Nothobranchius furzeri: one gene and its partners. The protein of the gene in region 3 purifies or fractionates together with the protein of the main gene of each other region. This does not show direct contact. Links are inferred from orthologs where the notes say so. Each region holds a gene or a part of one and is shown on either strand. Other genes may lie near its edges. The genes, in order: insig1, rnf170 and erlin2.

Region 1 (10,358 bases), on a different chromosome or scaffold from region 3:
GAGAACGGAGAGCTGTTCTGTTAAAACCAAAGATCTGGCAGATCTGCAAATGGTGACATATGCGGCCTCGGATTGGTCGGTATTAAGCTGTCTTTTCTGAAGGTGGATGGCATTGTTGCTAAGGCAGGAAGAGGAGGGTCCCATTTTAAATCTGACCTTATAGGAAGCAGTAAGGGTGTACTGGCAATAATCTGGTTTGTAGCCTCCTGGTGGTTGTTGCATTGTTATGTATTGCCTTGTAAATGTTAATAAAGGCTTTGTAAAATAAAAATTGGCAAGAATCTTGCAATACGATATAGATCACAATGACAGGTGAGACGATCCAGTTTATCTCGAAACTAAAAGCCAAACAACGTTTGTGATTTTTAGGACCGAGTTTAATTGGGGAACTCAGGTCAGGCACTTCCAAGACACTCCAGTATTTTGCCATAAACCAGGAGCGTGTCCAGGGGGTGGCCTGGGGTAGCACATGCCAACCTTGGAATCTGATTGGCCACCCCACTGAATTTCCTTTAAACAGACTTGTCCACCTTGTCCTTGATTCGGAAAAGGGTAGAATGCCTTCTCCGGGTCAGGGGTGAGGTCCTGCCCCAAGTGGAGGAGTATCTCGGGGTCTTGTTCACGAGTGAGGGAAAACTGGAGCGTGAGATCGATAGGCGGATTGGTGCTGCATCTGCAGTGATGCGGGCGTTGTACCGGTCTGTCGTGGTGAAGAGAGCTGAGCCAGAAGGCGAAGCTCTCGATTTACCGGTCGATCTATGTTCCTGCCCTCACCTATGGTTATGAGCTTTGGGTAGTGACCGAAAGAACGAGATCGCGGATACAAGCGACCAAAATGAGTATTCTCAGAAGAGTGGCTGGGCTCTCCCTTAGAGATAGGGTGAGAAGCTCGGTCATCCGGGGGGCTCGGAGTAGACCCGCTGCTTCTCCACATTGAGAGGAGCCAGTTGAGGTGGCTCGGGCATCTGGTCAGGATGCCTCCTGGACGCCTCCCTGGTGAGGTTTTCCAGGCACATCTAACTGGGAGGAGACCTGAAGGTAGACCCAGGACACGGCAGAGGGACTATGCCTCTCACCTGGCCAGGGAACGCCTTGGGATTCCCCCAGAGGAGCTGGCCCAAGTGGTTGGGGAGAGGGAAGTCTGGGCCTCTCGCCTTAGGCTACTGCCCCTGCGACCCGACTCCGGATAAGCGGATGAAAATGGATGGATGGAGACTTGTCCACAAAAAGCTTGGGGTAAAAAAGAAAAAGCATAACCATTGGTGCCACTTACCTGGGCCACCCCATTTTAAAAGATCTGGCCACGCCACTGCCATAAACTTGAATATATAAATACCTCAGTGGGGGCTGGAGAGCGTCGCTATATTAGGTGGATTTCTCACTCTCCAAACCCAACTGGAGTCAATACAGGTTGAGCAAATATGCCTGTCTTTTGTGCAGCCTACTGTTGCAGCAACAGGCGCATTATTGAAAAGAGATCATCTGGGATTTCTACTGACTTTTCTGGCTACCCGTTGGGATTTTACATTTGAATTTATTTTCTATCCATCCATCCATTTTTGGCCGATTATCCAGGGTCAGGTCGCAGGGGCAGTAGCCTAAGTCGAGAGGCCCAGACTTCCCTTTCCCCATGCGCTTGGGCCAGCTCCTGCGGGGGAATCTCAAGGAGTTTCCTGGCCAGCCAAGAGACATATTCCCTCCATCGTGTCCTGGGTCTTCCTTTAGGTCTTCGCCCAGTTGGACGTGCCCGGAAAACCTCACTAGGGAGGCGTCCAGGAGGCATCCCAACTAGCTGCCTGAGACAATTTATTTTATTTTATTATATTTATATTTTAACTATGATGCCATACCATATGTGTGTCTTTGTGAAAAAGGATAATAAAATGTGTGATTTAGTTGGGTAAACGTCTTCCTCGGTAAAAAAATGCCATTGGGGGCGAAAGAATAGAGATTCATCCAAGATGGCAGCCCGCTGCTACACCAGCACCAATAGGCAGCGCTAATCCACAGAGTGTCTATGTATATGATGAAGGCAGTAAAAAATCCTGCCCCCTAGCAGTTGAAGTTTGAATAGCAACACATATACAATAAATACTTGCATTTAAATACTCAATAAAATTGATACTGCCTTTGAATATTGATTCAGAATAATAAAATATTGCGATATTTCAGTGCAGCAACATTTTTATACATCACTGGGAAGCAGTTAAAAAATGGCAGAAAATGTTACCATGGCAAGTTGGCGTCCGATGTTTCCCACAGTAACGCCGCCTGAGAAGAAAATACACGGGAGCCAGGAACGCACGTACAAAAAGTCTGGAGATGTGTACCTGAAAATAGAACAAAAAAAGAAAAGCTTTTTACTTTACTTCTCCAAATGAAGACATTTCTGGTTCTGCATAATTAAGCAAAGACCTTACTGAAAAACTCCATTGTAGACCAGCAGCTGTGAGATGATGGTAGCTAAGAAGGCCGTGGTGATGCCCAGACCAAACCCACTTCTGGAGCGGTCAAATGTCCACCAGAGGCCCAAAGACAAGGCCGCCAGTGTGAGGGACAGCTGCACGTTGTTGGCAAAGTCTAGTTTCTGTGTTACTGTGGGTTAAGGGCAAAGTTAAACAAGATGATGATGATGTGCTTTTGTTCAAATATTGTTTCGACCGCCTGGTTTCAAGTTCAACCATTAGTGTCAAAAGTTATTGTGTTACTCTCATCCAAACAGGAGGTGGAATATTTTTCCACTTTTCTCCAATTTTCTGGGACAAAAAACTAGCATTAAAATAAGGATTACTTAGGGAAAACATCACAAAAGGATACAACACTAGCATGGTTGATGCCAACAAACACTGCAATGCATCTCATGACGCTTGCCCACTCCCTCTTGAACTTGTGCGGTTCCCCCAAATGGCTGTCGAGGCAGGGATAGAGCAGGCCAACAACAGCTGGAAATAGAAAAAAATGGAACAAAAAGTCAGGAATTATGCAAGATAAGCACAAATTCTCTGAACTAAACAGGACACATCCTGTCAGAGCTGGTTATATGCTGACCAAGTGTTGTTTTACTTTGTGACACATCCATTCACATAGATATCATTAAGTGTTTAAAGAAAAAAGCAAAGAAATGTTCTATTATTTATTGAATTTTTTTTGTTTGATTGTGTATTTGATGAAGTGGAATACAGATACATTTTTTGATTGTGACTTTTTATTACTTTACCACATTTAAATGAAAAAAAAGAAACTAATACAGACTTTCACAGCAAAATAAAATACTTGTAGTCAACCTTTTTTTAAAATAGCTGTAATAATTTAAAAAAATACCAAAGACCAAAAAATATGTTTAAGTCAAAGACGTTGTCCAGCCTCTAGAAATGATGTCCTTTTTATATTTAAATTTTAAAAAAGTACTTTGGGCATTTAACAAAAACTAAGGTAACTTTAAATGAGGACAAATTGTATTCTAAATCACAGCTCTTCATTAAACCTAGTGTTACAATAATTAGCTATAACTTCTACAGTGAAAATTAGACACAGTCATTTTGTTTCACTTTTTTTAACGGATTAAAAGTCAAGACTGGTGAAACATTTTAAATCTGCCAGGAAATAATGTGGTAATTTCTTTATAAATGCCTTTAAAACCTAAAAATGTAACTGGTCTGAAATATCTAGCGAGGGAAGTTCTGATTTTTTCCAATTTTTGGCATAACTGAACAGACACAATTTAACCAATGATCATGCTTGACTGGTGATTTAAAAGTACCAGGACTAACCTAATCTGTTTGTTGTGCACAAAAATGAAGTGGAAAACAGCTATTTAATTAAACTAAAGTTTAACAAGCTGGAGTAAATTAAACATGCTGAAAGACAAAAAGCTAAAAGTTTTCTGCTCAGCAGCACATGGAAGGAGGAGCAAAACGCGTTTTTTCTACCTCCTCTCATTTCCGGGTTCCTGGCCTTAAAGGGGGCGGCCCTTATCTCACCCGTTATGACACCAGCTAATGAGCGAACAGCTCACGTAGACTCTGACCAATCAGAAGCCAAGAAGCTCTACCGTCTGCAACTAGTCGTGTCTTTTGATACTAGACTGCCACTCAACCATAAAAAGTCTTCCCCGACGGAAGAAAAACAGCGTTACAACAACAACAGCGTTACAACAACAACATAGTAAAGCCGAATGACAACGTATCGCAGTAGGACACGATAGAAAACGACAAATTAGAAGATTTTCAAAATGTGTTGTTATAAAGCCGCGTTTGATTTATTAAATGACATAAATGGGTGCTTACTTTAGCGTGCAAGTGCAAATAAGAATAAAATATGATTTTCCAGACTCTTAATGCCTACAAATGAATTATAAATTAAATGTATCCTCCTCGTTAGCATTTTTAAATTAAATAAATAATGCTCCACGGTAACCCCTCCCCTCTTTGCTTGTCTTTGTCCCCAAATTAGCTGTAAACTAATACAGTTATGAAGTTCACCTCCGTTTATGGTCCACTTACCTGCTCCTGTACCGCAGCATGGCGGGATCCACCAGGCAGACGAAAACAAAGTTGTCATCACCTCCTCTGGAAAAAGGGTGACATTTCTTTGTATCTGCAGCAAGTTGAGCACCAGGGCGAGGAAGACCCCAACCGTGAAGAGGACGAGACCCCTTCGGATCAGGTTGGTGGTCCTGCCGTGGTGGAGGGAGCCGTAGGCAGTGCTGAGCACCTTGGTGGTGATGGACATCATTTCTTCAGCTTTAGATGCGAACCAGCTGGCGCCAAATGAATCTTTAGTTTTAGCTTTTGGTGAACAAGGGCAGCTCCAGTAGTGGTCCTCCAGTCTGGGCATTTGGCACTTCTGAGCTGTTTGAAAGCAGATTCATTCAATTATCTCACATAAAAAAGACACGTTGAGGCAAGGATGACGCGATTCTTGGTCCTTACCTTGTTGATCTCCAGATGAATTAAGTGTCTGGTCCAAAACGAAACCTGCACTCCAGCTCATTCGAGTTAAGCCACGATCCCCGTTTTGCTTTCCTGCTGTTTCCGACAAGGACAGCCGTCACGTCGTTTGTTCACATCATATTTAGTAAACACACAGCGTTGCTTCATTCTACAGCTAAAAGAGCTCGTACCCCAAAAAGAACCAGGACTTCCACTGCAGAAAACAATCTCAGCTGTGTCTGGTGAGAGGCGGCAGCCAATCAGAGCGCGGCAGCTGATATGACGTGACACCAACGCCCCGCCCCGTCGTCCGGTTCAGACAGACTGATCAGGAGGCTGCAGGGCTGAAACGAAAGTAGAAATACTTTAAATAGCGGGAAACATGTAACTCTGGTTTTACATAACATTTAAAATGGGGTGATTAAATATATGAGGACACATTTAAAGGGACACAGTCAAACATTAACATTGATCATGAACGTTAATTCATAATCTACAAAATCAGTTTTGCAAAGTATATGGCAAAAAGTAGATTACATCTGATCAGAACAGACTAAAACCTGATAACATTTAAACGTCTTACAAAAGTACAATGAATAGAATCAAATTTTCAGGTTTTATTCTAGTCAAATGCCAGTGCTGGAGGTTTTCCATATTACATATAGTTTTCTCAAATTATCACATGAGTTTTGCATTCACTCCAACACCCATATTGGATTGGAACCCATTGAATTTTCAGCCCAGGCTAATGTTTTACACTGTGGGGTGGCAGCTGCAAAGGCGTGATCACCTACTACTCTTCACCCTAGGGACATCTTAGGTTGTTTGATCTTAATGTCCTGTCAGTCAGACCAATAAAAGTTTTGAAAACCAACAACAGGAAAAAGAAAAACTCTACTGGTCATAGAGCTAAGAAATAAAGCTGGCTATAGTGATGGTGGTCCATCCATGCATGACGTTATGGTGTAATGTAGACCAATGGTTCCCACATTTTTTACCTTCAGATAAAAAAAATGACAGATATTAAGACTTACAATATATCTTATTGAACTATACATACTTTACTAAAAGCAAGGGCATAATGAAAATTTACAAAGACAATGTACTAGGAATATATATATATATATATATATATATATATATATATATATATATATATATATATATATATATATATATATATTAGGGACACACAAAAAATCAATAAACTTGAACATTGCTACATTTTGTATGCTGGATTGATAGTTAAAAACAATATATTGATTTTAATTGAGAATTTATGTACAAACATTTACTGTATTTCTTTTGTGTGGTAAAAAAATCTCTGACTGCTAGTCATCTGTTTTTTTACTGCCTTTATGACGGAACAGTGACATCTCGCAGTAACACCAGATGTGTCTTGGAAGCATCTCGCCTGAATTTTTCAATGAACTTCAGTCCTAAAAATTGCAAATATTGTCACCCCTGTATTGTGAAATATATTGTTTTGCCGTATTTTTGTCAATACACACTCCTAACCCCATGTTAAACTCAGATTATAAATTTTAGTTTTACCTTTATACCATTTACAATAAAATATTACAGGAATAAAAAATTTTAAAGTCATGTTAGAATTCAGGAAAACATTTTAAGACCCCAGCCTTAAAGCTTTGTGACCCAAACTCTAGAAAGTCTAACAGAGGCTTTAGAGAGTTTTTCCGTTTTTTCTTTTATGGGTAAAAAATTCGTAACAACATCTCTAAAGTGCTTGTACCGGTTATCAAAAGCAGTTTTAATAACAACGATGACTTTTCAAAATGAAAATAGTTTGTCTTTTACCAGTCAGAACAGGATTCCTCTAAGATGGAGACTGTGAGTGTCTTCTTTTCTCAATAAATCTGTAGCATCTTCCAACTCAACTAATCTCTCATCACAGGAGCTCTTATATAGACATGCGTCGAAAACGGGGTTAGTAGCACATGCGTTTGTTTTTCTGATGTTGGTAACAGGTTATTGACCTCTGGGTCAGTCTACTGGAGGTGTGTCTCTTGGGGCAAGTTGTGGCGCTCCTGCATATCAGTCAGACAACATATAACTGGATAAAAGGTCAGTATTCATTTTTCAAGGACCAATAACAACATGGGTTAGATTAGGTAACATAATCTGGAGAGCACAATAACAGATACTGCATGCATGTGTTGAATACATTTGTATCCACAAAGAAATAAACTGGAAATAAAAAGCTAATTTGCTGATGAAAATGTTATTTAACCCTCCCACTGTCTTTATGGGTGACCCCGCAAGAAAAGTTGACCATTGAGCAGGATTGATGGTTTATCCCATTAGGTCCACATAGCAGGGGTGAGGTGGTGCTCACACCTCACCCCTGCCACATGGACCCAAGGGATAAACCATCAACCCTGCTCAATGGTCAACTTTCCTCGCGGGGTCACACCCATTAGGACAGCGGGAGGGTTTAACAGATATGTCATATTTCCTGCAAAACCATGAGCACCAATGACATGGATGACTGACTTCATTCAAACTGATTCACAGGTTAAATGCATGACCTGCAGCAAATTTAGTAAACAAATTCAGATAGCTGGGGAAAAAAATCTGTTTTGGGGATTATCAAACTGAGCTGCTGAAATCCCATATTGTTGCATTTATTACTTCATTATACAAAGATGCAGAGCTGAGATTGAGTTTAGCATTATGGTTGTTAGAACTGGTTTTTGGCTATCACCCAATGTTGAAGTGTACTTGGACTAAACACAGAGCCCCACGTAGCTTCAGATCCTTGTGTCATCAGTGCATGATTGGAGAGAAAAAGTGCTCCACTAACAGGTTGCACAATGACTGCCTGTAAATAGGGGATTGGGAAACTCTGCAAAGAATTTAGCGAAATTAAAAAACTTAAAAAGGCACCCACCATGCATATTAGTGTGGATCATTTATGGTTTTATGAACTAGCTATACTGGTAGTTTAGGGTTAGCATCTTGTTTAGATGATAAAACTTTTAAAATATTTTGATAACTCTAGTGTTTTAGTTGTTAATAGTCGTAGAAGTCATTCAAACAGACAACAGTAAAGCTGCTAAATGGACTTTAGAACATGTGACTTACTTATAACTACATGATATGAGTGGCTTCAAATGCAGAAGAATTGTAGCAGGTGAAAGTAATTTACACTTTGTATTTATTGGGGTTGTTTTATCTTAAACTTAAGAATTGTTATGGATACATACATTTAAATCATATTATGTCTCCATATAGGTAGCCTAAGTCATGCCCATCTACTTCCGGACCAGTGATCCCCTGAAGAATGAAAAAATGAATGCAAGTCAATGGGGCTAAAAATATTTTCTAATCCTGTTTGTTATGTGCGATGGATTTCACATATGATGTCCCTGAATTTTAAAGGTACATTCTGATCCCAAGAAAGCACTTATTTTCAAACGGGGCAAAAGTAATTTTAGGCTTTGTGTGAAAATCTATCCAGGACTACAAATGCGCGATACCAAATTGATGTCATCAAACCAGACACAAAGAAAAGCAGTGGGAAATGGCTGTAGGTTCAGCAAACTTTTCCTCACTGTCATTTGCTTCTTGCTAGACCAGCTAGGACAGTTTCACATGACTACACAAAGTCTCATGACTCTACCTCATTCAGTTTGCTGCACAGCATCTCAAATGAGTCATCACCTGTTGCTACCGTAGATATCTACATCATAGTCTTTTAGGCTCTAAAATTATTTGTATAAAAAAAAATAAAAACTGCTTTTCTGACCCTTTTTTTGTAAAGAACCATTTTCTCGCGACAGCATGCGCGATATCTGCCGGGCAGACATTATAATATTGCAAATGAGGGGCATGTTGATTGGTGGAAGGAAGCAGGGGTGTTGACACTGTAGGTTTTGCTTCAGTATCTCTCTCCAAAATAGCATCCCTGTGATGGACAACGTCCCGGCATGCATACACAGTAGTCTAACTTAGCCTTACTGTTTGAATTTCAGGCAAGTATCTCAGTGTTGAAATGGCCTCTCTTTCTAGACAAATCCTTGATGCCATCTTCGCCTGATATTGCCCCAAATTTATAAAGCATTCTGGCTTAAAATAGTTAGCATAGACGCTGAGACTAGTGGGGAGAGTTTCGGGAACAGCACTGTTAAAAATAAAATTAATCCACTGGTCCCTGGCAGCTTGGTTCAATTTTGGTAAAACAAACACATGTGTGGAGTTTGGCAGTCAACAGCCACCATGGTAGTCAGCAGCTCACATGTGAAACTCCCTTAGACATTTTTCCTTTTCTCAATTTCAGTAATGGAATTACTGCAACTAAATTTGAGGGAAGCGTAGCTGTGCGTGGTATAGTGACATTGCTCTGTGCTGTCCACATATGGTACTGTACATCCTGCCTTAGTGACAACATCGAGGCCAGAACTCAAGATCTCGTTTTGGGCAGGGGCGCCTCCAGAAAATGTTGATGGAGTGGCCGGATGGGGCCAAAGAAATCTTTGGGGTGGCACACCAAATTGGTCCTTATGGTAACGCTGGGAGAATTTAGCTTGTGGCGATGTACTGCATTGCTCCTTTATTCATTTTAATTAAAATAACTACGTATCCAAAACAGTTAACTTAAATTTTACAAACACAAACATTTCAGAAAAATACATTTCAGTTATTTAAAATGTTATCCATAATTTAAATGAAAAATTTATATTTTTGTAGGTTAATTCACCTGTTGCTGTGTTAAAAAATAAACTATAGAGATAAAAAAAAGTTAAAATGGTGAGCATGAGAAACATATGTAATTATTTAATTCTGATTATTTCTTTACTCATTAATTGTAATATTTTAATTTTGTTTTACAATATGTCTTAAATAAACAAGATCAATTTATTGTTTGACTGAACATTAACGTTATTTGTTAACACTGGCTTTTCCTGGGGGGGGGGCATGGCCTCCCCTGACTACCCCTTGGGGGCGCCCATGGCTTTGAGGTGCACGTGAGTTGGTTGATGAAGCCAACAGTAAAAAACGATCCAAAGTTAAATATCGGCTTCCCAACCAGTGAACAATCATTAGGATGCCATTACATAATAGGAACATTGGCAACCTACACACACCTTTTCATTATTTTTTTTAAATTCGTAATATATTTGCACTGGTAAAATTAAGTCAGTAATAGACACACTTCTATGGTGTCTGTAAACGTTCGCCCACCTCTACTTTGAACACTTAAAGAAGGTTTACCAAACATCTACACAGTAAAGGAAATGAAAATGTCATAATATTGAAGGCCTATCACTTGACACAAAAGTGAAGATAGATGACACTAAAAAGAATCTTTTAAAAAACTTTGACCAAGGTTGGGATTTGTGGCTTCTCTATTGTTAGCATTTGCTTGTGGAAAAAGAGGAGGGTTTTAGGCTTTGCAACATCACT
Region 2 (10,557 bases), on a different chromosome or scaffold from region 3:
CCCTCTCGGTCTGCCTGGCAACAGCATTTGTGGCATTTTTCAAACATGAAGTGGGAGTGGAGTAAGTTTCTTGTAGAGGGTGACTCGCTCTAAATATTAAGAAACGTTCTTTTATCGAGTGCATCTCAAGCAAAATCATGAGGTGTCTCACATGGACAAAAATATAATTAAATTTAATGAAAAGTAATATTAATTAATAAAAAAATAGAAACATCATAAAAATGAAAAGAGTAAAAATTGTGATTACAAAAAACAAGAAATCCATTCTACAATGTCAGATTCCCATCAGGTGTTTCAGCACCAATTATGTGAATCAGCTGTTTTTCCACAAAAATATTTATTTAATGAGTAAAATTATTTGTGGATGAGGAACATGAGTGGACGACTGAGAACTTCAGTGTTGCGGTTCCCCCTTTCTACCACTAGATGCTGTTCTTACGCATGATGTGAAGTTTTCTTATATTTAGGAACATTTCCACGCATGGGTATAAAATGATGAATACCACACAATGCGTAAATTAGTTCCTACGCACGATATATGCACGGATCTGTGCGTAAGTACGGTTGATAAATGAGGCCCCTGGATTCAGCTTTACTTACAAAAGTCTCCATAAAGGGAGTACGATGCATTCCTACAGTTAGAAAGAGAAGAGCTGATAGTCTACCTCAGTTCTACGGTTAACTGCAGATAACTGAGAATAATCCATCTTCAATACATACTATGCCTATAGTGCCACAAGCTTTTAAAACAACTTATTTCCTAGCTGTTGTTCTCACATTGTCGGGGTGTTTCTGTAAAAAGTAAAGCTCTTCTCGATGTGCTAGTCATAAATTAGGCACACGAGCACCTGCTGCCTGCCCCATCTGACTTTGAAGGTGAGTTCAGAAAGCTGCAAACTAAATGTGACTGACATGAAAACTCAGAGACTTCAGAATTAAAATACATATTTTAAGTCTCACCATCTGTCTGCAGATTGGACAGTGGATGGCACCCAGCCAGGTGCCATACCTCCAGTAAGCTAGAATGCAGGAACCTATGAAGAAGTAATGAAAACACACATTAGAACAACTTCAAAGGTAACTTTTATGATAAAGGTTAGTCTGAGTCAGAGTCAACAGATGTACTCAAACACAGATGAAACTGAGCCTGACAGTGTGTCTATAACTATTCTTGTATTTTAAAAGCTTCAGTTGTTCACACAAAAGTCAACAAAAAAAAAACAAACATTAAAGACCAAGTTCACCCGTTTGCAGTGGTCCCTAGTGTAAATGTGAATTTGGCTTTTTTTCCCCCCCAGAGATCATCATAAAACTCTCATGCTCCTGTTTGAAGGAGTAGAAGTTAGCTAGAGAAGAGTGGAGCTGAAGATGACAGGATTTGGAGTCTTACTACCTGATATTTGGACCTCTCCTCAGATTGGCTAAGAGCAACAGGACTCTACCACTGACTCTGTTTGCTTTGCAACATTGATGGTTTATCTCAACAGGTAACACAAACCTGAAGGAGTTCTGCCTTGTTGCTAATGCTAACGATTAGCTTCTACTAGCCGAGACATTCTCTGCTGTTTCCTGGACGCTCAAACAACACCTGCCTCCCCGTCATGAGTCAAGATGGGCGAGTCCATGAATGTTAAGTGACAGTGTGACACAGATCTGTTGGGCTATTCAAATCCTAGATTAACACCGTCTATTTTCTTTCGGTGGCTAATGCAGGAGATCAGCCTGCATGAAAAACAAGTAACATATTTTTCATTGAACTTGGTCTTTAAAAGTTGTTTTGGTGAAACAAAGGTCAATTCTTAACTTTCTCCTGTTTTAATGACTTCTATTTAGCTCACTGCAGATGGTCAGAACCTGTCCAATATTCCCAAGTGGTGCTCGCTGCAGAACCAAAATGGCAGAGCTGCACCAGAAGGTGGGTCTGCACCAGAGTCAGCCCCGCCCATTCCATCAGAGTCAGTCCAATTCCTTCCAGTTGTCAGACTTGATAGCATTCTGGAACCAAAGAGGGTGTTATAGCTAAAAAATGCAAGATTGAGGACGGAGTTGAGAAGTTAATTGAACAGTTTTTGTAAAGGTTCTATATAATGAAAAATCTAACTTTTAGAACATTTTACCATGTTATATTGTCATTTCCTCATAAGAAACACGCCAAAGCCATTTTTAGCCTCATTCATGCATTTTCCTCCCATCTCAGCTTCAATTTAGTCCTCTCCTCCGAAGCGGGTCTGGTCTTGGTTCTCAAATCTGGAAATTCTGTGAATTTTCTGACAAATTATTTCTGAAATGACTTCAACTGAGACCCCGCCAATAAACCATTCATCCCATCTACAAAGACACACTGGATGGCACAATTACATGTAACGCCACTTATATTTTATCAGATGTGTTGGTGAAGTGGTTATGGAGTCAGGCTGACATGCAGTTTTGCGCAGGTTCGTCTCACAGTAGCGGAATTATTAAGTAGTTTAAAACCCCTTTTCTAGCCATACTTGCCAGTACTATGTTTACAACAATTTACTGGTATACCGTTTAACATATAATGACTAATGTGTTTATTTATTTATTTATTTAGCCAGTGTGAGTCCATTTGTGAGCAGAGTTTCAACTAAAATGCTGTTTAGGAATGACCAAATTCAAAGAAATTTTAGAGACATAAATATTTTGCTGAAAATAAACATTACAACTAAAATATAAACAAATTAAATGTTTCAGTTGGCTAAATAGATTGCTGACGACCCCACCGAGAGTCGAACCAGCATCAGCTGAGGGGAAAGCAAAACTTAAGTCAGACGGTCTTGCCACTGGACTACCAGAACCTATTCAATTGCATTAAATGCTGTTGTATGTGGGTTTTGTTAGAGCGGCTGTGGGCAGATATTTGTTATAAGAAACCTTTTCTTTTCGGGATATATTCAGGCTTTGTCATGTAGCAAGTTATATTTATCTTGTTTAATTGGAGCATAGAACATAGCATTAATGACTGTAAACTAGTAACAGCCGTAATTCATGTGGGTCAGGTCAGTTTGCGATAAAGTTGAAAAACAAAAACAGAAGAAGTCAGTGGGCTAGGCTGAGTTTGCGTGAATGGGCAGGGCTGACTCTGGTGCAGCTCCACCATTGTAGTTCTGCAGCGAGCACCCTCAATGTTCTTACCACAGAAAAGATGTCCACAGTTGGTTTCCACAGGCAGAACAGCTTGTTGTAAACACACAGGACAGGACATGTCTGTGTAATACTGCAGCCTGGCTTCTGTCTGAGGATTTTCATCCTACAGAGATCACATGTTGGCATTTGCTTTATAATAAAAGTGATTGTTTTAGTTCATCACCAGCATGCAAAATAAATTACAGTCATTAAAAATAAAATCTTTCTAAGAAAGACAATGCTTCTGCAAATTTTTTAACAAGTGAAATGTATTGATGTGTTTCTGTGGCTTTTAGGAGCTGTAGCTACTTTCTCCTGCCTTCTACAACCTTTTGAGCATTAATAATCAACTTGAAAGCCCCAAAATGTAGTTTTCCTTCAGATTCTACCTGATCAGTTTGGAGCTGTTGCCTGACGGCCCGGACATGCTCCTGATTCTCAGGGTGAATATTCTGCTGCTCCTGCCTATAAGGGACCAAAAGCAACATTATACAGACTTCCTCTATATGAATATAAGTCTAATATTAGCCCAAATACACGACTTGTAAAATTACTTCTTAATAAGTTGCAACAAATGTTTAAACAAATTTTAAAGGTTTTTTTCTTGATAACCATCTGATTCGGAGCTTACCTGAAGATCAAAGTCAGAAGGCCTGCAAGGAAGGTGAAACTGAGGACCACCACGAACAAAACCTGGTTGCTGACACCCTCAATGATGGTGTCCTCATCCTGGATTAGGTAGTCCAAGTCCCCACACTGACTATCCTCCATTGTCCAAACTCATAGCCTGGAATTTTAGAAAACAAGGAGAAAATACAGGTAACACTTTAATGTCAAATATTTTGTTTTGAACCAATTTCTTCAGATATATAACTCTTTGATATTAGTGTCAAACACAAAAATCACCGTTTTTGGCCTTATTTAGTGACAGTGTATTTTTTTATCACGTATGACACTGTGTGCTTAGTGCGCAGTTATCTCAAGCTGTAAAGAAAATTAATACTCATATGTCTCCTGTAGGCCAAAAACAAAACATTCTTATCAGATCACGAAGAGCTAGAGCACCTATCCCTATCATGACCAGCTGCACCACTGTGTGGTACGGCAGATGCACAGCATCCTGTCAGAAATCTCTGCTGTGAATAGTGAGAGCAGCAGAGAAGATCACAGTTGTCCCACTTCACCCACCTGACTCAAGTCTGAGTGAAGTCACCCCTACCAGAGTCACTCCACCCCCACTTCCTGTTTGAAAAATGCAACAAATCCTGTTCCCTAGCACACTGAGGGCGCAGCTGCTAACAAACACACACAGGCTGTTTCTCAATATGCATACTTGTGTGTACTCACATCCTTGTGAAACGTCATCAACGATGGCCCAAGGACTGTTCCAATCCTAAGTATGCAAGTTCGCTCAAAGTTCCCGGATGTGATCTTGCTCCGCCCATTGTATCGAGGATGCCTCAATGCATCATTCCGCGGACATAACGCATGGCGTCGCAACCGTTATACTCTGAACGTCAGAGGAGAAAGCTAATAACTGTAATGTTTTGTTTTAATGTTAAAGTGCAAAACTATTGACTACACGTGTCTGCAGCATGATTAGACACTCATTTATATAGTTTATCTGCAAGAAAAAGTTGATAAACTTATTTTGATAAACTACATAAATGCATGTCTAATCGTGCTGCAGACACGTGTAGTCAATAGTTTTGCACTTTAGTTAAAATTTAAAATTTCTGCCTAAAACTGTCAGTGTTCTGACGTTGTCGGGTAAAAACTGCACTGCATTTGAATTTAAATCTGCCATCGCTATTGGCTAATACGTACCCTAAAACATTAGCTGGTACCATATGATGACACAAACTTGTTGTGAGCCTGTGTGTGCATTTGTTAGTGGCTCCACCCTCTTGGTCTGCTAGGCAACAGCATTTGTTGCATTTTTTCAAACAGGATGTGGGAGTTGAGTAAGAATCTGGTAGGGAGTGACTTGCTCTTTAAAGCTAGATTTAAAACATAACTTGAATCAGCTGCTTTTAAAGTTGTGACCTTTTCCATTCATGTAAATAATTTATTAACTTTAAAAATTACATAACACATACTTACTTACGAAAGCTCCTTGGTCACGAAGATTAGCTAGACATTGCTGTTTAATTAAAAACGTCTAAGAAGAAAAATGATCAAATAACCCGTGATGCACTGCGGTGGGTTTGAAGCTAATAATGACTTGATCTAAGCTACTAAACACCTCTCGCTGTCTTCGACTTCCCTTTCTGCAATAAAACAAAGAGTGAACGCTGAAAAACGTAAAAATATGTTTCGTTTGATAGTGAAGGGCGGTGTTATCGTGAACACCGCTGCAGTAACAGCGAGTCTGTAAAGTTCACTTTCGAAAACTCCCAGATAGATAATGGCAAATGTTTGAATCATTAATCGAACTCTCGAAGCTAATATTTCTGACTAACTAACAAAATTGATTTAGCATGCGCAGCTACTTTAAAGCCAAACCATAACACACAAAGCAACCCAATAAAATAAACACTCGATGCTTTACTGTATACAAAACCATATTGGATACCTACCAACAAGATTTTCGCTTTCACGCGAAAGTTCTTCTACTAGCTTAACTTGTCAATCAACTCACTTTGTCTAAACATTTAGCCATTTTTATAATAAAGTTAAATGATGAAGACAAGTGACCAGGTCAAGTATTTCTGACTGTGTTGTTGCTGCAACACTTCATCGTGATGTAGTAGTTTGTGTCTTCCTCGTGTTCTCTAGCTACCTTCTACTTCCTTCTTTTTTCTGTCAATACCCTCTACCGCCATCTACTGTTAGCTAAAATGTATACAACAAAAATCTGCTGTTAAGGCTAATCAAATGAGCTAAATCATAATTATTCTTTACACATTGAAGAAATTGTTAGATGTTTAGGTCACGTTATAAGATAAATAAATACATTTGAATTTTTGTTCGCGGTTCAATGTGATAATTCACCAGCTAATCAAGAGGGGGCAGTAGTGAGGCAGGCAACCGGATGTTACGGAAAAGCAGAAGAAAAACTCTCAGGTCAACAGTTAGCTAACTGTGAGAAGCTACGTGAACTAAATTAACCAGGTCACAGGTGTGGTAAAGGTGGGATAAAATGCCTCGTTATGCCCAACTAGTGATGGGCCCGGCGGGCAGCGGTAAGGTAAGTCATCGCTGATCACGCTGGACGTCATAAATGCTTTCTTATGTTATAATGCGTTGCTAACATGTTGAGCTAAGGCAAGTGCTACACAAACTATAACTTCTGTCTTCGTTTTTTTGGTCTGATATTTCAGAGTACTTACTGCTCCACCTTGGTCCAGCATGCAGAGGCCTTAAACCGATCTGTTCAGGTGGTAAATCTGGATCCTGCTGCTGAGCATTTTGACTACCCTGTGATGGCAGGTAAAGACTTTTAAAGATCACATCAGAAAGGCTTAATAGGAAAACAGAAATTGTGTAAAATGAAGAAATTCAAATAGATTAGGTTAGGTTTCATTGTTACATGGTGATCACTTGTAGTTTCGGATAAAAAATATGGAAACACTTTGTGATTGTGATTTTGTGGATTGGTCTTTTTATTTAAATTCAGTTTAGTAAAACAATTACTTCTGATAGGATTACCGTAAATCCTCTAATACAGGCCGGTATTCAATTAAAGGCCGGGTCTCCAATTTTGGCCGGTGTCAGAGTCAGCGGAGGTAAATAATGGCCGGTCTCTTATTGTGGCCGGATGGCATGTGGTAACAAGCAAGTACGAGCGTCCCAGCGGCAGGGTTATAGTTCCCAAATCAACCAGCAGGAGGCAGTAGAGGTTCACGCAGACCTTTATTAGGCCTTTTCTTCAACGCTTTGTAACGCTACAGACACGATCCTCTATCACGCTCCTACCACACAGAGTCATGGTGTCAGTTAACCATGCTAATTCAACCCACTCCACAGAACACACATCACCTTCCCTGTGGCTTACATAACACTCACACAACACGCAAATCAGCACATAGGAACTAGCAGAACGATAGGAAACACATATAACACAATACCCAGAATGCACCTGGCTTACAACCCCAGCCAGGTCATTACACTATCAAGTTCAAAGAGAACGTGCTGATTATGCTGCAGAACACTCTGGAGAGCAGCAGTAGGGTGTGTATGAACTACAGTAATCCCTCGTTTATCGCGGTAGATGCGTTCCAGACCTGGCCGCGATAGGTGAAAATCCGCGAAGTAGGGACTCCCAGCATGCCCCTCGCGGGGATTCCCTTCACGTCGCACCTACGTCACAAACCGCGGCTATAAACGGAAGTTGCCTTTCCAGCTCACCACTCAGTCATCGTTTCTTCAGATTCACGATCAGAGTTTCCAACCTACCGATCAATCCAACGAACTATCAGCTCATAGTAAGTTATCTTACTTACTTCTGGAAAGCCCGGCATTTCCGTGTCACTTCGTTGACGCTCGAACGCTCGGGGGTTTCCTAGATCAGCCGGCGTTTCACCGACGCTCTCACTTCCGCGTCTGTGAAACCACGCTCCCTATTGAATTATCGTATGATCACATTCTCTTTTTGGGGGTAAAACTCAAGTGCCAGACCGTAGGTACTGACACGCGATCGTTCATGTCGGTTAATTTTTAATGTTTTCTGTCTTTTATTTGCGCCTGATGTGTATCGCTGCTGTGGAGCGGGGCGCATCAACTTGTCCTCCGACGCACAGATCACAGCAGGGAGCGCTCAGCTGTTTTCGCGGTCGGTAGATCTGCCTCCTGAGCACGGCCACAGTAACAATCAGGTGTCGCCACCTCAAAAACTAATTTAACACGCGATCGTTCATGTCAGTTCATTTCCTTTAATTTTTTCTGTCTTTTATTTGCGCCTGATGTGTTTCGCTGCACGCTGTGGAGCGGGACGCTGCGCGCATCACCTTGTCCTCCGACGCACTGATCACTGATACAGCCGCCAAACAGCAAGCGCTCCGCTGTTTTTGCGGTCGGTAGATCTTTTAGAACTGCAGTTCAAAGGTAACTCATGAGGTGAATATGAACCCAGGCAGCAGTTTTTCTTTAGGATTGAGAGGAGATGCAGGAAGATAATAAACAGACAGGACAGAAAAATAGTCAAATAAAAACAAGTTAGTTTTTGTACCTGCTGTTGCAACAAACAGACACCATTGAAGGTCATCAGAAGTGAGGAACAGAAAATGAAATAATTATTTTAATGTTTAGAGCAGCAGGAACTCCGAGAGGCTGCAGGCGCATCAGTGAGTTTGCGGCCGCTGCGCAGGGGGAGGGGGGAGAGGGCTGAAGCAGGGGGAGGGGGGAGAGGGCTGAAGCAGGAACTACCGTTGTTAAAAGAAATGTGTTTAACTTTGAAAATGTGGGCGCACTTTTAATTGTCAAAAACTCCAGCGAACCATAGTTCATTTTGCTCAAATAGAAATAGAGGCCTGCCTCTAATACTGGCCCTCCTTCCAATAAAGGCCTGGAGCTTGATGAGCTTGAGTCAAATACAGGCCCGGGCCTGTATTAGAGGATTTACGGTAACTCACAAGTACAAGTAACATCAGGAGGATTTTTTAAATTAATTACTTTCTCCGTGAAGCACACTATATTTGATTGCAGTCCTGCTTTGTCAGACATCCGTGAGCTCATCCAGGTCGATGATGTGATGGAGGATGACTCTCTGAAATTTGGCCCTAACGGAGGTCTGGTCTTCTGCATGGAGTACTTTGCCAACAACTTTGACTGGCTGGAGGAAAGTCTGGGCCATGTGGAAGATGACTATATTCTGTTTGACTGCCCAGGTGAGTAATCTGTTTAACAAACATAACTTTAGTATTGGCTGTTAAGTTTGGTCTAATTGATCTAAAGGTAAGTCCTTTTTAAATTACATAAGTTTGAAGCTTTGTGTTGTTTTTACTTTAAACAGGTCAGATTGAACTTTACACACACGTCCCTGTGATGAGACAACTGGTGGAGCAGCTCCAGCAGTGGGAGTTTCGGGTGTGTGGGGTGTTTTTAGTCGACTCACAGTTCATGGTGGAGTCATTTAAGGTAACCATATATCTGTTCTTTTATGTTTGTGTCATTTTCTTTAGCGCAAGTTGTTTTAAACTAAGGTGCGCTCATCTTTTACGTGTTTCAACTGTAGTTTATATCTGGGGTCATGGCTGCCCTGAGTGCCATGGTGTCATTAGAAATTCCTCAAGTAAACGTCATGACAAAGATGGATCTGCTCAGCCCCAAAGCAAAGAAAGAAATAGAAAAGTAAGTTTTGCATGGTTAAAGCAAAAAAAGTATGTAGTGCCAGAGAAGTTAACATGCAACATCAGTTTTGCTTTCCATAAACTGTTTATAATTGGTAAATCTTTAAGGCAGTTGTGTATTTTTACAAGGTACCTGGACCCCGACATGTACTCTATGATGGAGGATAATTCTGACACTTTCAGAAGCCAAAAGTTCAAGAAGCTTACCAAAGCTATTTGTGGTTTGGTATGATGTCATTTATTAGATTTAGAAACATTTTTTAATGGTAAACTGACATATTTTTTCTGTTTTTTATTTTATTTTTATATATAGATAGATGACTACAGTATGGTCAGATTCTTGCCTTTTGACCGCACAGATGAGGAAGGCATTAACATAGTCATGCAGCACATCGACTTTTCCATTCAGTATGGAGAGGACCTGGAATTCAAGGAGCCTAAGGTGAAGAAACAACCATATTAACACAAATCTAATTATAATGCAAATCTTTATTATTTATTAAAACTAAATAAAATATGGTTTTCTTCTCCATCAGGAAGTTGATGAAGAACCAGCAAATTTAAACTACGATGAGCTGTTTCAAAACAAAGTTGTCTGTTGAAGAGTATTGTGATCGTGTGTCAGCTGGGAAAACAGCATGTGCATGCAGGTTTTAGATGAAGTTCAGCTGGAGAGCTTCATATCAAAAGAGGAAATGGACAATAGCTAAATAAAACTGACTTTGGACTAGTCTTTTATGTTTAAAATATTATTTTCTGTTTTTATTATTTATACAACTCAAGATTTATTTTCATTTGACAAATTAAAAATAAAAACCTGAAGTGTTGTTAAATAGATGTACTAATGTTATATTTTTTAAATAAAACATTACACAATGTGCACTTTTCTGTGACGAGATTGTTTTCAGCACCCCCCAGTGGCCGCTATGTCACACGACACGTGTTCACTTCCGGTAAAGCTACAGGGTGGGAAAGGCGGAAGCAGCGTCTGGGGGTGCACGGATATTTGTCTTGCTGAGCAGTTGGATTGATATCTTTCATTCAACATGCCGGTGAGTATATACTTTGCGATAGCTGTTGACGACAGCTATTTGTTTTTATTGATTTATGAAGCCAGAAT
Region 3 (10,317 bases):
TATTTTACAGGAGAACATCAATCCCAGTGTCTTTAGATCCCCTTAAATTATAATCCCGTGTTTTTAAGCTGAAGTAGTTTTACTATACTTATACTAAGTCTGGTTAAAAAAGGTCACATTTGTTTAAAGTACCCGATTTTAATGGCTGCTTGTGAGAAGTGGAGACAAAATAAGTCCTGTGTTTATGTAGAGTAGGACCCCCCAAGGTGCTTTACAACACACCAGTCATTCACCCATTGGTGGTGGTGAGCTGCATCGTAGCCACGGCTGCCCTGGGCATACTGACAGAGGCGAGGCTGCTGAATACTGGTACCACCGGTCCCGCCAACAGCTGGCAAGGAGGGTGGAGTGTCTTGCCCAAGGACACAACCGAAGAGACAGACTGGGTGGGACTCAAACCTGCAACCCTGAGGTTACAGGGCAGGCATTTACCTCTTCTGCCACTGTCATCAGTAAAGCATCAGGATTTATATGTTGATGCACTTAGCAGACGCTTTCATCCAAAGCAAGTCATGCAGAGGTGAGGCAGCAACGAGGGCGGAGTGTCTAGCCCAAGGACACAACGGCAGAGTGACGAGGAATAACCTGGTTTTGAGTCCTATTCTGCCTATAACCAGAGGGTTGCAAGGTTGCATCCTGTTCAGTCTGTCTCAGCTGTTGTGTCCTTGGGCAAGACACTTCCCCCTCCATGCCTGCTGATGGTGGTCGGAGGGGCCGGTGGTGTCTGTACAGCAGCCCTCTTCTGTCCGTGCACCCCAGAGCAGCTGTGGCTATGATGTAGCTCATCACCACCGTGTGAATGTGTGTGTGAATGGCCGGTGTCTTGTAAAGTGCTTTGGGGCGGTTGTAGAACTCTAGAAGGCACTATCTGAATACAGGGCATTTATTTCTTCTTTTGATTTGAACCCTAACACAGCTCGTCCGATTCCTGAACAGGAGAGTCGGAATGTAGCGAGATGAACGAGAATAGGAACTTTAAACGATCCTGCCGCACTTCCACCCACCGAACAGGCCGATGTACACCTCCTGGAGCGAGTGGACGCTGCAAAACTGGTTAAGTTCATGGTGAACTTTGTTGAATATCAAGGCTTTGTCATAGTCAGCTGTGAAGTTCCTGACTATGTCGTAGACTGAGGAAGGAGAGGAGAGCTGATGTTAGACACACAGATTATTCTGTCCATGGTTAAAGCTGCAATAGCAAATCTGCAAAACAAGCTAGCTTTTAAACCCTAACACAGCTATCAGCCCTGAAGGCCACGTCCAGCGGGTACCGCAGCCCACGACGCCAGAGGAAAGGAAAAGTGCTGAACACCAGTCACTGTTTTCTGAGCTGAACGTCTCTTGTTGTCCGTGGCTTCACCTTTTTGGGACTCTGGTAGTTTGTCCTAAAGTTGAAGCGGTAGCAGCCGGCTGTTTCTCCTTCTCTGATAATACTGAGTGGAGAGCCTCTCACACCAATGGCGCTCTGCTGCTATAGACACAAGTGCATAACGAGTATTGAGTAAATGTGCAAGTGTGGCGGTTTGGCGAGACCGACAACCGGACAGACTAATGGTTGGTTTTGGACCAAGCCATGTTATTGGTGGAGGTTTTTAGACAAACGTGAGAGAACCACTTCTTTCACTTTCTTTTTCATTGTAGTTTTATTTTTATTTTCACAATATATTTATAGATGTTTTAAGCTAGCTTGTTTAGCAGATTTGCTGTTGCAGCGGTGAGATCAGAGGTTTATTCTTTACCTGCTGAGGGAATGAGGTAGTTCACCACTTCTATACGGTCAAAGTAAATGATCACTCCTCCACTGAAGGAGACAACATTACATCTCGTCTCAAACATAGTCAGTGTTTTAAAAGGTGACAATAAACCAGTACACTCACTGTGTGAGAGTGTATCTGGACTATTTTATACAAGTTAGATCATCCTATCAGGCTAATTATAACTGCACACCCACCTCGTACCACAGGGCACATTCTTCACCTCGTCTGTCTGCAGAGTGGTCTGAAAGGCAACACAAAAACTAAATCTGATGACAAGTTCAGAATGTTCTTTTCTCAGGGTTTCATTAATGATATCATTATGAAACTAAACGAGCCAGAAAGGAGGTGCTATGGGAGTAAATCCATCAGCAGGGAGTGAAATCACGCCATTTGATAGGAGAACTCGATTCTAGACACTCTAGAGAGAACTGGAGTGTATGTGTGTGTGTGTGTATGTGTAGGGGGAGTTGTCACAAAACGCAAAGTGTGTGTACTCTCTGGCTGCTAACACACTTATGTGTTAAGAGGCACTAATGATGTGCAAAAGCTGAGAGCCCAACTATCCGTACCTGAACAGACTTGTAGGTGGTGATGAATGGAAGCATGAGATGGAAACCTGGGCCACTGGTTGTAGTCAAGAGAGCTCCACCTCTGGATCACACACATGCACACACACTTATATTTATGAAAGAGAACGAGTCAAAACAAACGAGTCTGAGGAAAAGGGCTGTGATTATTTATAAAAAGGCAGAAAAAAGTCTGATGACAGTTCCAAGGTAGTGCTTGATGTGCCCCGATAACACACCTACACCTTCAGTGGAAATGGGACAAAATACTTTTTCTGATTCATTTAACAAGAAATCCATTAGTTATTTTGTATAAAAAGCGTCATTGAATCAAGAAAACACTATAAGATTATTTCACCAATGATAAGGATAATAAAACATGCTTGAATAATGCTTAACCGCTACAGTTTTCACAGTAATTACACAGGTAGCATGCAATCACATCTTTGTGGTTTCGTTTTTATGACACACAAAAGTAAATGCATCCTGCAGGCTCACCTGTAGTACACTCCTGTGTGTCCTTCATCTATCTTGTGCACCGAGGCCAACAGAGCTGCTCCTCCGAGAGCAGCTATGATAGAGACAACGGCACCCCACTGAGCCATCCTGGCAAGCAGTCGGTGGAAGGCAGCCTGTAAAAGCGAGCAGGAGTATCACACCGACCTTTCAGCTACATGATGACACTAAATGTCCTGAGTTGTGCTGCAGCAACACAAACGAGCCGGTTAAACTACTCTCAGCCTGGGTTTAGGAATACATGTAGAGGATTAGGCCAAAGTTCAGCATCGTGTCCTCTCTGGAGATGAATACAAACCGGTGAATGGATGAAATCCCCTATTATGATTAGGAATAATGAGGTAAAAGGAGAAAACAGACATGGAGGTCGGTGGTTTAGCAGTAGAGTCAGAGGATCTCCTCAGATTAAGGATTTGCAGACACAATCTGGTGACCTTATGGCACAAGACTGGTCTCGTTTCCAGATCAGCAGGTGTTTTTAAACTCCTTGGTGTTTCTTCTTACATTTATACATGAGTGGTGAGTGTTTGGGTTTGACCGAGCCCCTGTGGTTTTCAGTCGTTTGGGTAATAAATTGGTCAAACTCAAGATAATTTAAATCAAAATGACCACTTTGTGGACTCTTGTTGAAGCCGAAATACCGGCAATAATGTAAAACCTTTAATACAATCATCAAACGTGGGACCAAGTACGTGAGCGAGGTTTAAAAGAAAGTTGATTTAAAACGTGTAAATATTTAAACTAAATACGGACTCGTGTGATAGAAGCGTAAGCCGTTAGCATGATAAATAATCATATTACTCAAGTCTCAAAGACAGGAGCCACTTTTGAGTTACACACCTGTTTATATAAGAACACACACGTATCAGCTGAGCGTCAAACCACAACATTAAAGCCACATTTTTAGAGCTTTAGCTAAAGTGCTAATTAGCAACACAGTTCCAGCACGTCTGGTTCTCTTTGGAAACGATGCAACGAGACTACAAGACTGGCAAGAACAGACACGTGTGTAAAAAACAAAACGGCTAACTCATTTACGTTGGTTCTCTGCTCTTACCTTTAATTTTTGTGTGACTTTGGCAAATCACACAGAACAGCTTCTTATTCTGTTTACATTCTCAACTGCTCAGCGTCAACAGCGTCGCCGTAGCGCCCTCTGGTGGACAGTCACAAAACAGCATTCAGCATTGGGCTGTGTAAACGGTAGCTATTTTTCAGAGGGTAATGAGAACAAAGACCAGATACAATTAATTAAACCGAAAATGAATTATTTAATAGGCAAAACTACAATAATAATAATAATAATAACAACAACAAAAATTGGTACTATCTGAACTAGGTGTGATAAATGTTTATCAAAACAAAAGAAGCTTATTCCACAAATGAGGAGTACACAATTTTAAAATGATAGTTAAAATCATTCAAACTAATTATATCTACTTACGTCAGCAATTATAAATAGTATGAGTCTTATAATTATTAATGAGATTTTAGCATGACTTCAAAAACAAACAAAAAAGAGAGGCAAAATGACAAAAGATTAAGCACTTCTGTTTGTGCAGACCCCTTTGGGCTTTATGTTGTTATTTATTTTTAGATATTTTTTTAATAATGCAGCTACAAGATGGACGGAGATGAATTCATGATTAATGCGTATTTACAACAGAAAAGCACAACAGCTGGAGAAAAACTGCAGTAAAAAAAAGTGCCTACTTTTTCGCAACAGATGTGTCTGAGCCATGCAGAGTTTGCTTGTCTCTGCTAAATATGTTAAATGTGAGTGGTGTGCTTTATTTGTTTTCATGATTGCATTTGCTGTGTTCTTTCATTTTTAAAGGAAATAATTTTGTTTTGATCTAATAAAATAATAAATGAATTAATCCCGAAGTTCCAAAATAAAGCACGTTTCGTCGAGCCGTTCTTTGAAATATGATTACAAAATTAGTCCCGATTTAGCTTTTGCCTTTAATATAAGTTGATGCAGGCTGGAGTCTGGACAGTGAGCTGCATTTGCACCCTGAAAAATGATACAGAAATGTTCTGTTTGCATAGCAGGCCTATCTGATATGTTCCTGTGTGTCTGCAGCGCAGGGTATCCTATAACAGAAGGTGGCGCCTTGGATGAGATGTTCTTGTTACATTAGACCTGTTTTGTTTGAGGATACAGCGGAAGCAAACCAGCGTGCATGGGCCTCAGCATCACAATGATCCAGAGCTGTGCCAAGCTTCCCTCTGCAGTCAACTGACTGGGTGTTTGGGTACCAGACTGGAAAGGCGTGGCAGTGGGCTGAACCAGGCGCGCTGAGCGATGGAAAAAACACACACCAGGGCCCACTGACCTGGTACCAGCTGAGTCCCCGGAGCAGCCTGACAAAAGGAGCGGCGGTGGAGTCAGCCCCCAGCACACACGTCGTTATCAACCGGAGAAGGCTTTAGGCTGTGGGTGTGCCGCTCAGCGACCGTCGTCCCTGGATGCGCTGAGGTGAGTTCACCTGCAGACAAAACCGACTGGGCGTTAACGGTGTTCCCCTAGCGCGTGCATGAACGCTGTGTGCGCCTTCAGCGGGTCCTGTCAAAGAAGCTGTGGCCCATTCTGCTCGTTGTTTATGTCACTGCAGGGCGCTCCCAGTCCTCTTCCATGGACTCCAACAGGAATCCTGAAGGGGTGATCCTGCACGCGCACCAGTCCAAACAGCGCGTGCTTACATTTGAAATCAGCTGGCAGAAACGATAGGGTATAATGCATGGATGTGATATGTTTGTGTTCGTCTGCTAACAAGGGGGGGGACTGTGATGTCGGCGCTGACGTGTCAGTGGTGGCTTTTGTTGGTTCTGACTCCAGACCGTTAGCGGTTCGGACGATGGCGGAGTCCAATGCGTTCGTTCTAGTTACTCTGAGCTGTTCGTTTGCGGAATATTCATTCTTCTTTGCAGAAGTCAGTCGTGCAGCACCGAGCAGCCACCGCTGGCCTCTGTGTGGAAGCCATTGGTGGATCCGGCTGGTGCTGATGCTGCAGAGCGCGAGTGTTATGCAGCGCGCGGGCCTCCATCAGGATGGAGGGGAAACCAGCAGAATGTAATGTGTCATGTTGACGGTGAAACTCAGGGATGTAGTGCGTTTTAACGTAGAGCAAACCAAGGTGTGTGTGTTTGTGCGTTTGTGTGTGTGTGTGCGTGCGTGCGCGCGCGCGTGATTCCTTGCATGACTCATGAGCTCCACTGGGCATTTCGTCGTGTGTTTTGTCCGGTCTTCTCCTAGCTACAACACTGTAAACATTTTATTTCCAATATGACATAAAAGTGCAAAATTCAGTCCATCAATGTAAAATGAGCTCCTGGGTCCGAGAGCCAACACGACTATCCATTAAAGCTGGAACATCATTCAAGTAAAAGGCAGATTTATGAGTCTGCAGCGTGCACTTTGTTAGAGTTCAGCATTCATCTCAGTGGTTACAGAGAGGGAGCAGCCTGGTCCTCCCAGAGCTTTGTTATTATTCATTTATATTTAGCAGTTTTGGGAATGGAGACCAATTCTCCGTAGAGTAAATGGATGGAGTAAAATCTAAATATTTATATAAGGGTTTATCTCATCCTCAGAAGGCAGTGTTATTGTAATTTATAGGAAAACACAGAACTAATGTTAAATGCACCTGGAGGATTGTAAATGAAATAGTGAAACAAAAGGTTGTTAAAGAGTATCCAGCTTATTTCAACTCAAATAATGATTAATGAAAATAAACTTAAATCAGATCACCTCAATGAGAACTTTGTTAATGTGGGTAAAACCTATTTAGTTCTCATGTTTTCCTACGATAATAATGTCAATGAATACTGACTCTACTTTGATCAAAAATACAAATGAAGAAGAAATACTATAGTTCAGAAATGAAAAATTAACAAATTAACTGATGATTATGAATTTGACACATTTTTGAAAATAAGGATCATTGATTGTATAGTTAAACTTATATTTGTATTCTGTCCCTGATCAATGGGAGATCTCCTTCAGAAATGATGCCTGTTGAACAAAGATTTCAATTCTGTCTTGTAACAATGCCATTATTCAAATCCGGTGATAAATACGTCTTTTCAAATTATAGACCAATCTCATTAATACCACACTTCTCAAAAGTTCAGAGGATATTTATAAGAAAAAGTTGAATGATTTCATAGTTTAACACCAAATATTCTGCAACCAGCTGTCTGCATTCAGGAAAAATCATATCGGCAGCTCCAACTGATTTTGTTAAACAAATAACAAATACAATAGAGGTCAAACAACACACGGTTGGGGTGTTTTTTGGATTCACAGAAAGCATTTGATACCATAGATCACACATCACTATTGAATAAGTTGTTATGGTATTAGAGGACTGGCACATGATTGGATAACTAGCTCTACAGAATTGGACTAGTGTGTTCAATTTAACACAGCAAATTCAGGTAATCTGAAGGTTACGTGTGGAGTACCACAGGGTTCAGTATAGGGATGTGTATTGATGAATGTATGGCGATACGGTATCACGATGCGGGGAGGCAATACAATGTATCGTGATATATTGCAATACATTCAGCCAGACGATATTAGCGATTTTTTAGACTGAATAAATTGTAGGAAAATTCTATAAACGGTCCAAACTGATACTTAACATGTTTAACATGAGATATCTGAACCATAACAGAGGGATTTACATTTCAATGGTGGAAACAAATCCCATTGCACACTGCTGCTGACTAGCGGTCACCAAAAAAGAAAAGAAAACACATGAATGTTTGCATGTAAATTATTCCAAATATTTGATACACGGCTTTTGAATATTGATATAATATCACAGGAAAAATATCACGATATATTGCCATATTGATATTTTCTTTCATCCTTAGTTCAGTCCATAGTCCATTATTGTTTACTTTATAAATTAATGACATTTGTTTGGTTTCAAAGCCTCTAAATTGTGTTCTTTTGCTGATGATACAACTGTGTTTTGTAGCAGAGACCATTTGGAACAGCTTCTCTAGTGACGGAGAAGGACCTACACACATTTAAACAATAGTTTGATTCAAATATATTATAATATGACCAGAAATCCAAGTAGCAATTTAACAATGAACAATGTTGCAATAGAAATTGTAACTGAAATAAAATTTATTGGAATTACTATTGCTGAGCGATTACGCTGGAAACCACACATAAACCATGTGAAATTTAAACTGTCAAAACTATTGTAATTTTGTATGAAGGCCACTACTTCCTTTCTCAAAATTCACTAACCAACAAATAATACTTGTTATTATTTCCATATATGACACATTGCATTGAGGTTTAGGGAAACACATATAAAACAAATAACAGTTCAGTAACTTTATTGGAAAAGAAAACCAGAAAGCCATCAGTTATAAACATTAATCTGCACCAACCAACCAAACGTAGGGTTAAATATTGTTGCTTTTAAGCTTAATATATTACCTTTACTTATGACCAATAAGCTGGGATATTTTATATAAATATAGAGTATCACTCTGGTCTTTGAATGTTTGATCAGACGATTCTAGGATTCTTTGCTTTTTCAGGGATCAAACACACTTCATATCAGTTCAGACAACAATTAAACAATTAAAAACATGACAAGTTAACTAAGACTACTGTGATGGATGAACCTAAGTGGATGGGATGTGATATATGGTGATTGAATGGTGTGTGTTTATCAGAGCCTTGTATCTAGAAGAACTGAGTTCTGGGTGTGAAAAGAATTTGGTTTGCATCAAACTATGAAGTTGGTTCTTATCAAAACGGCATCAGACGCAATCATGTGTGTCTACCTCACCCTTCCTTTGGAGACCCTCTCCACGGATTCGGAGGTCAGGGAGGTCAGATGACCTCTGGGCACCGAGGTTCGGTAGATTAACTGCAGTACCGACGCCCCAGTCCAGAGATGTCGCCAGGCACACAGGTTGGAACTAGTTTGCATCTAGAGCAGCTGTTTCTGAATAGCTGAAGGAACTGTTTTGCTGTGTCAGCTGTAGGTTGTAACATATGGGCTTAAATAAGGGCCAAAATGTTTGTGTAGTTAAAAGAAAAATTTGAAATTGAAAATATGTAAACTGAAAGCAAAAGTCACATTTTTAGAGTGAACTTTGAAAAAGAAAGACTTGGATTTAAAATAAAATCAAACGTTTGGAATATTTGTAAGAACTGAAACCCCAATGATATTTTTATTTAGAATTTTTCTGAGTAAACTTTACTAAAGAATTTTCAGTAATTTTTTTTTAATTATTGTTTTTTTAAAAATCCATTCAGTCTCAGATTAAATTTTTTCACATTCAGATCCTTTAAATTAATGTACAAAAAAATTCTTCAGGTTCAGATTTTTCTTTCAGCTTCAGATTTTTTTTTTTTTCACTTTCGGATCTGTATTTTTCAGTTACAGACTTTTGGCCCTGTTTTGGCCTGGTGGGCGTGGCTACACAGAGAGGGGCGGGGAATCATGAGTGACAGCAGGCTGCTGGAGGCTGAAGACGGCCCATTTTTCATGTTGCCTTCAGGAAACCTGGGAATAAACACAATTTATCAAACACCTCCTGCACTGTATTATTTGATAATGGTTAGATAACATGTCATGCATAACCGCTTAAACTCAGTTACTAAAGCTCTTTCAATCAGTAATGTGTACAAATTACACAGTGACTGATCAATTATGAGAAGTTTTCCCAACCACTACGTGAGAAGTGATCATTTCCCATGCTCTCAAAGTAGCATACATGGGTGCTGCTGTTGTGCCTCAGGGAACGATGGCGTCGTCATCCAACAACACTGCTGGTGCGAACAGTCAGGTGAGTGTTTAAGTTTGGAAAAGTTACACTGCAGTCTGTGAATGCTAAGAATTTACGAAGTGGCTATTGTTACGGTTAAAAGTAAGATTCATTTTCGGCTATTCTGTTTTTTTATTTAATTTTCATGGTGAAATCAGTAGCAGTTTTAGGCACGGTCAGACAGGGCAGTTGTCCGGGGCGGCATTTTTTCATGACACAAAAGGGACGCACAAGCGCTGAGTAAAAAAATAAAAAGAAAGAAATCTGCACCGCACCGAGGTTTATATTCAATCTGTCATATCACAGTCTGGATTGGAAACAGCAAGTTGGCGCCCCCTGCAGCTGCAGGCGCTCCTGCTGACTGAGAGGGTTCAGGTGGGTGCACCGTGTGTGTATGAAGAAGAGGAAGGGGAGGGGTGCGGCGGGGGAATTCACCTCTGGGTCTTTCCCAGGCCCCCACAATGCGGCTGGTGGTTTTAGCTTTTTCATGTTCATCTCTTCTGTTTGGCTCTTGACTCAATAAGTTTCCTTTAGTCAGGACTTTTTTTTATTCGGCCATTTCACACAATTCAGAAAAACCTGAAAGAATGATAGGCCTGTGTTTATGATATTATGAATGAAACGTGTGTTAAATGGAAGAACATCAAGATGTGATTGACTTTAGCCAT

Evidence for each region.
Region 1: the proteins of erlin2 (region 3) and insig1 purify together in Homo sapiens (affinity purification with western blotting; 4 studies listed by BioGRID and IntAct, with this or other methods). This does not show direct contact. The link is inferred for Nothobranchius furzeri from reciprocal best matches to the Homo sapiens genes ERLIN2 and INSIG1.
Region 2: the proteins of erlin2 (region 3) and rnf170 purify together in Homo sapiens (affinity purification with mass spectrometry; 4 studies listed by BioGRID and IntAct, counting the BioPlex papers as one, with this or other methods). This does not show direct contact. The link is inferred for Nothobranchius furzeri from reciprocal best matches to the Homo sapiens genes ERLIN2 and RNF170.

Annotation. Positions count from the first base shown.
Region 1 is NC_091747.1:47,850,182-47,860,539, forward strand, and holds the start of insig1 (insulin-induced gene 1 protein), read right to left. Parts: upstream 6,865-10,358; 5' UTR 6,750-6,864; intron 5,276-6,749; 5' UTR 5,123-5,275; intron 5,028-5,122; exon of another isoform or gene 5,025-5,027; 5' UTR 4,993-5,024; coding exon 4,932-4,992; intron 4,851-4,931; coding exon 4,503-4,850; intron 2,943-4,502; coding exon 2,818-2,942; intron 2,588-2,817; coding exon 2,421-2,587; intron 2,331-2,420; coding exon 2,231-2,330; intron 1-2,230. UniProt on the Homo sapiens protein: Oxysterol-binding protein that mediates feedback control of cholesterol synthesis by controlling both endoplasmic reticulum to Golgi transport of SCAP and degradation of HMGCR.
Region 2 is NC_091746.1:47,853,169-47,863,725, forward strand, and holds the start of rnf170 (E3 ubiquitin-protein ligase RNF170), read right to left. Parts: upstream 5,924-10,557; 5' UTR 5,727-5,923; intron 3,935-5,726; 5' UTR 3,919-3,934; coding exon 3,779-3,918; intron 3,613-3,778; coding exon 3,537-3,612; intron 3,272-3,536; coding exon 3,157-3,271; intron 1,035-3,156; coding exon 961-1,034; intron 1-960. Other genes in the region: gpn3 (GPN-loop GTPase 3), read left to right, coding at 6,290-6,337, 6,471-6,579, 8,808-8,975, 9,101-9,225, 9,323-9,438, 9,567-9,663, 9,751-9,879, 9,974-10,039; arpc3 (actin-related protein 2/3 complex subunit 3), read left to right, coding at 10,484-10,489. UniProt on the Homo sapiens protein: E3 ubiquitin-protein ligase that plays an essential role in stimulus-induced inositol 1,4,5-trisphosphate receptor type 1 (ITPR1) ubiquitination and degradation via the endoplasmic reticulum-associated degradation (ERAD) pathway.
Region 3 is NC_091757.1:29,252,120-29,262,436, forward strand, and holds the start of erlin2 (erlin-2), read right to left. Parts: upstream 5,320-10,317; 5' UTR 5,179-5,319; intron 3,996-5,178; 5' UTR 3,897-3,995; intron 2,956-3,896; 5' UTR 2,929-2,955; coding exon 2,822-2,928; intron 2,409-2,821; coding exon 2,327-2,408; intron 1,999-2,326; coding exon 1,952-1,998; intron 1,802-1,951; coding exon 1,740-1,801; intron 1,131-1,739; coding exon 1,005-1,130; intron 1-1,004. UniProt on the Homo sapiens protein: Component of the ERLIN1/ERLIN2 complex which mediates the endoplasmic reticulum-associated degradation (ERAD) of inositol 1,4,5-trisphosphate receptors (IP3Rs) such as ITPR1.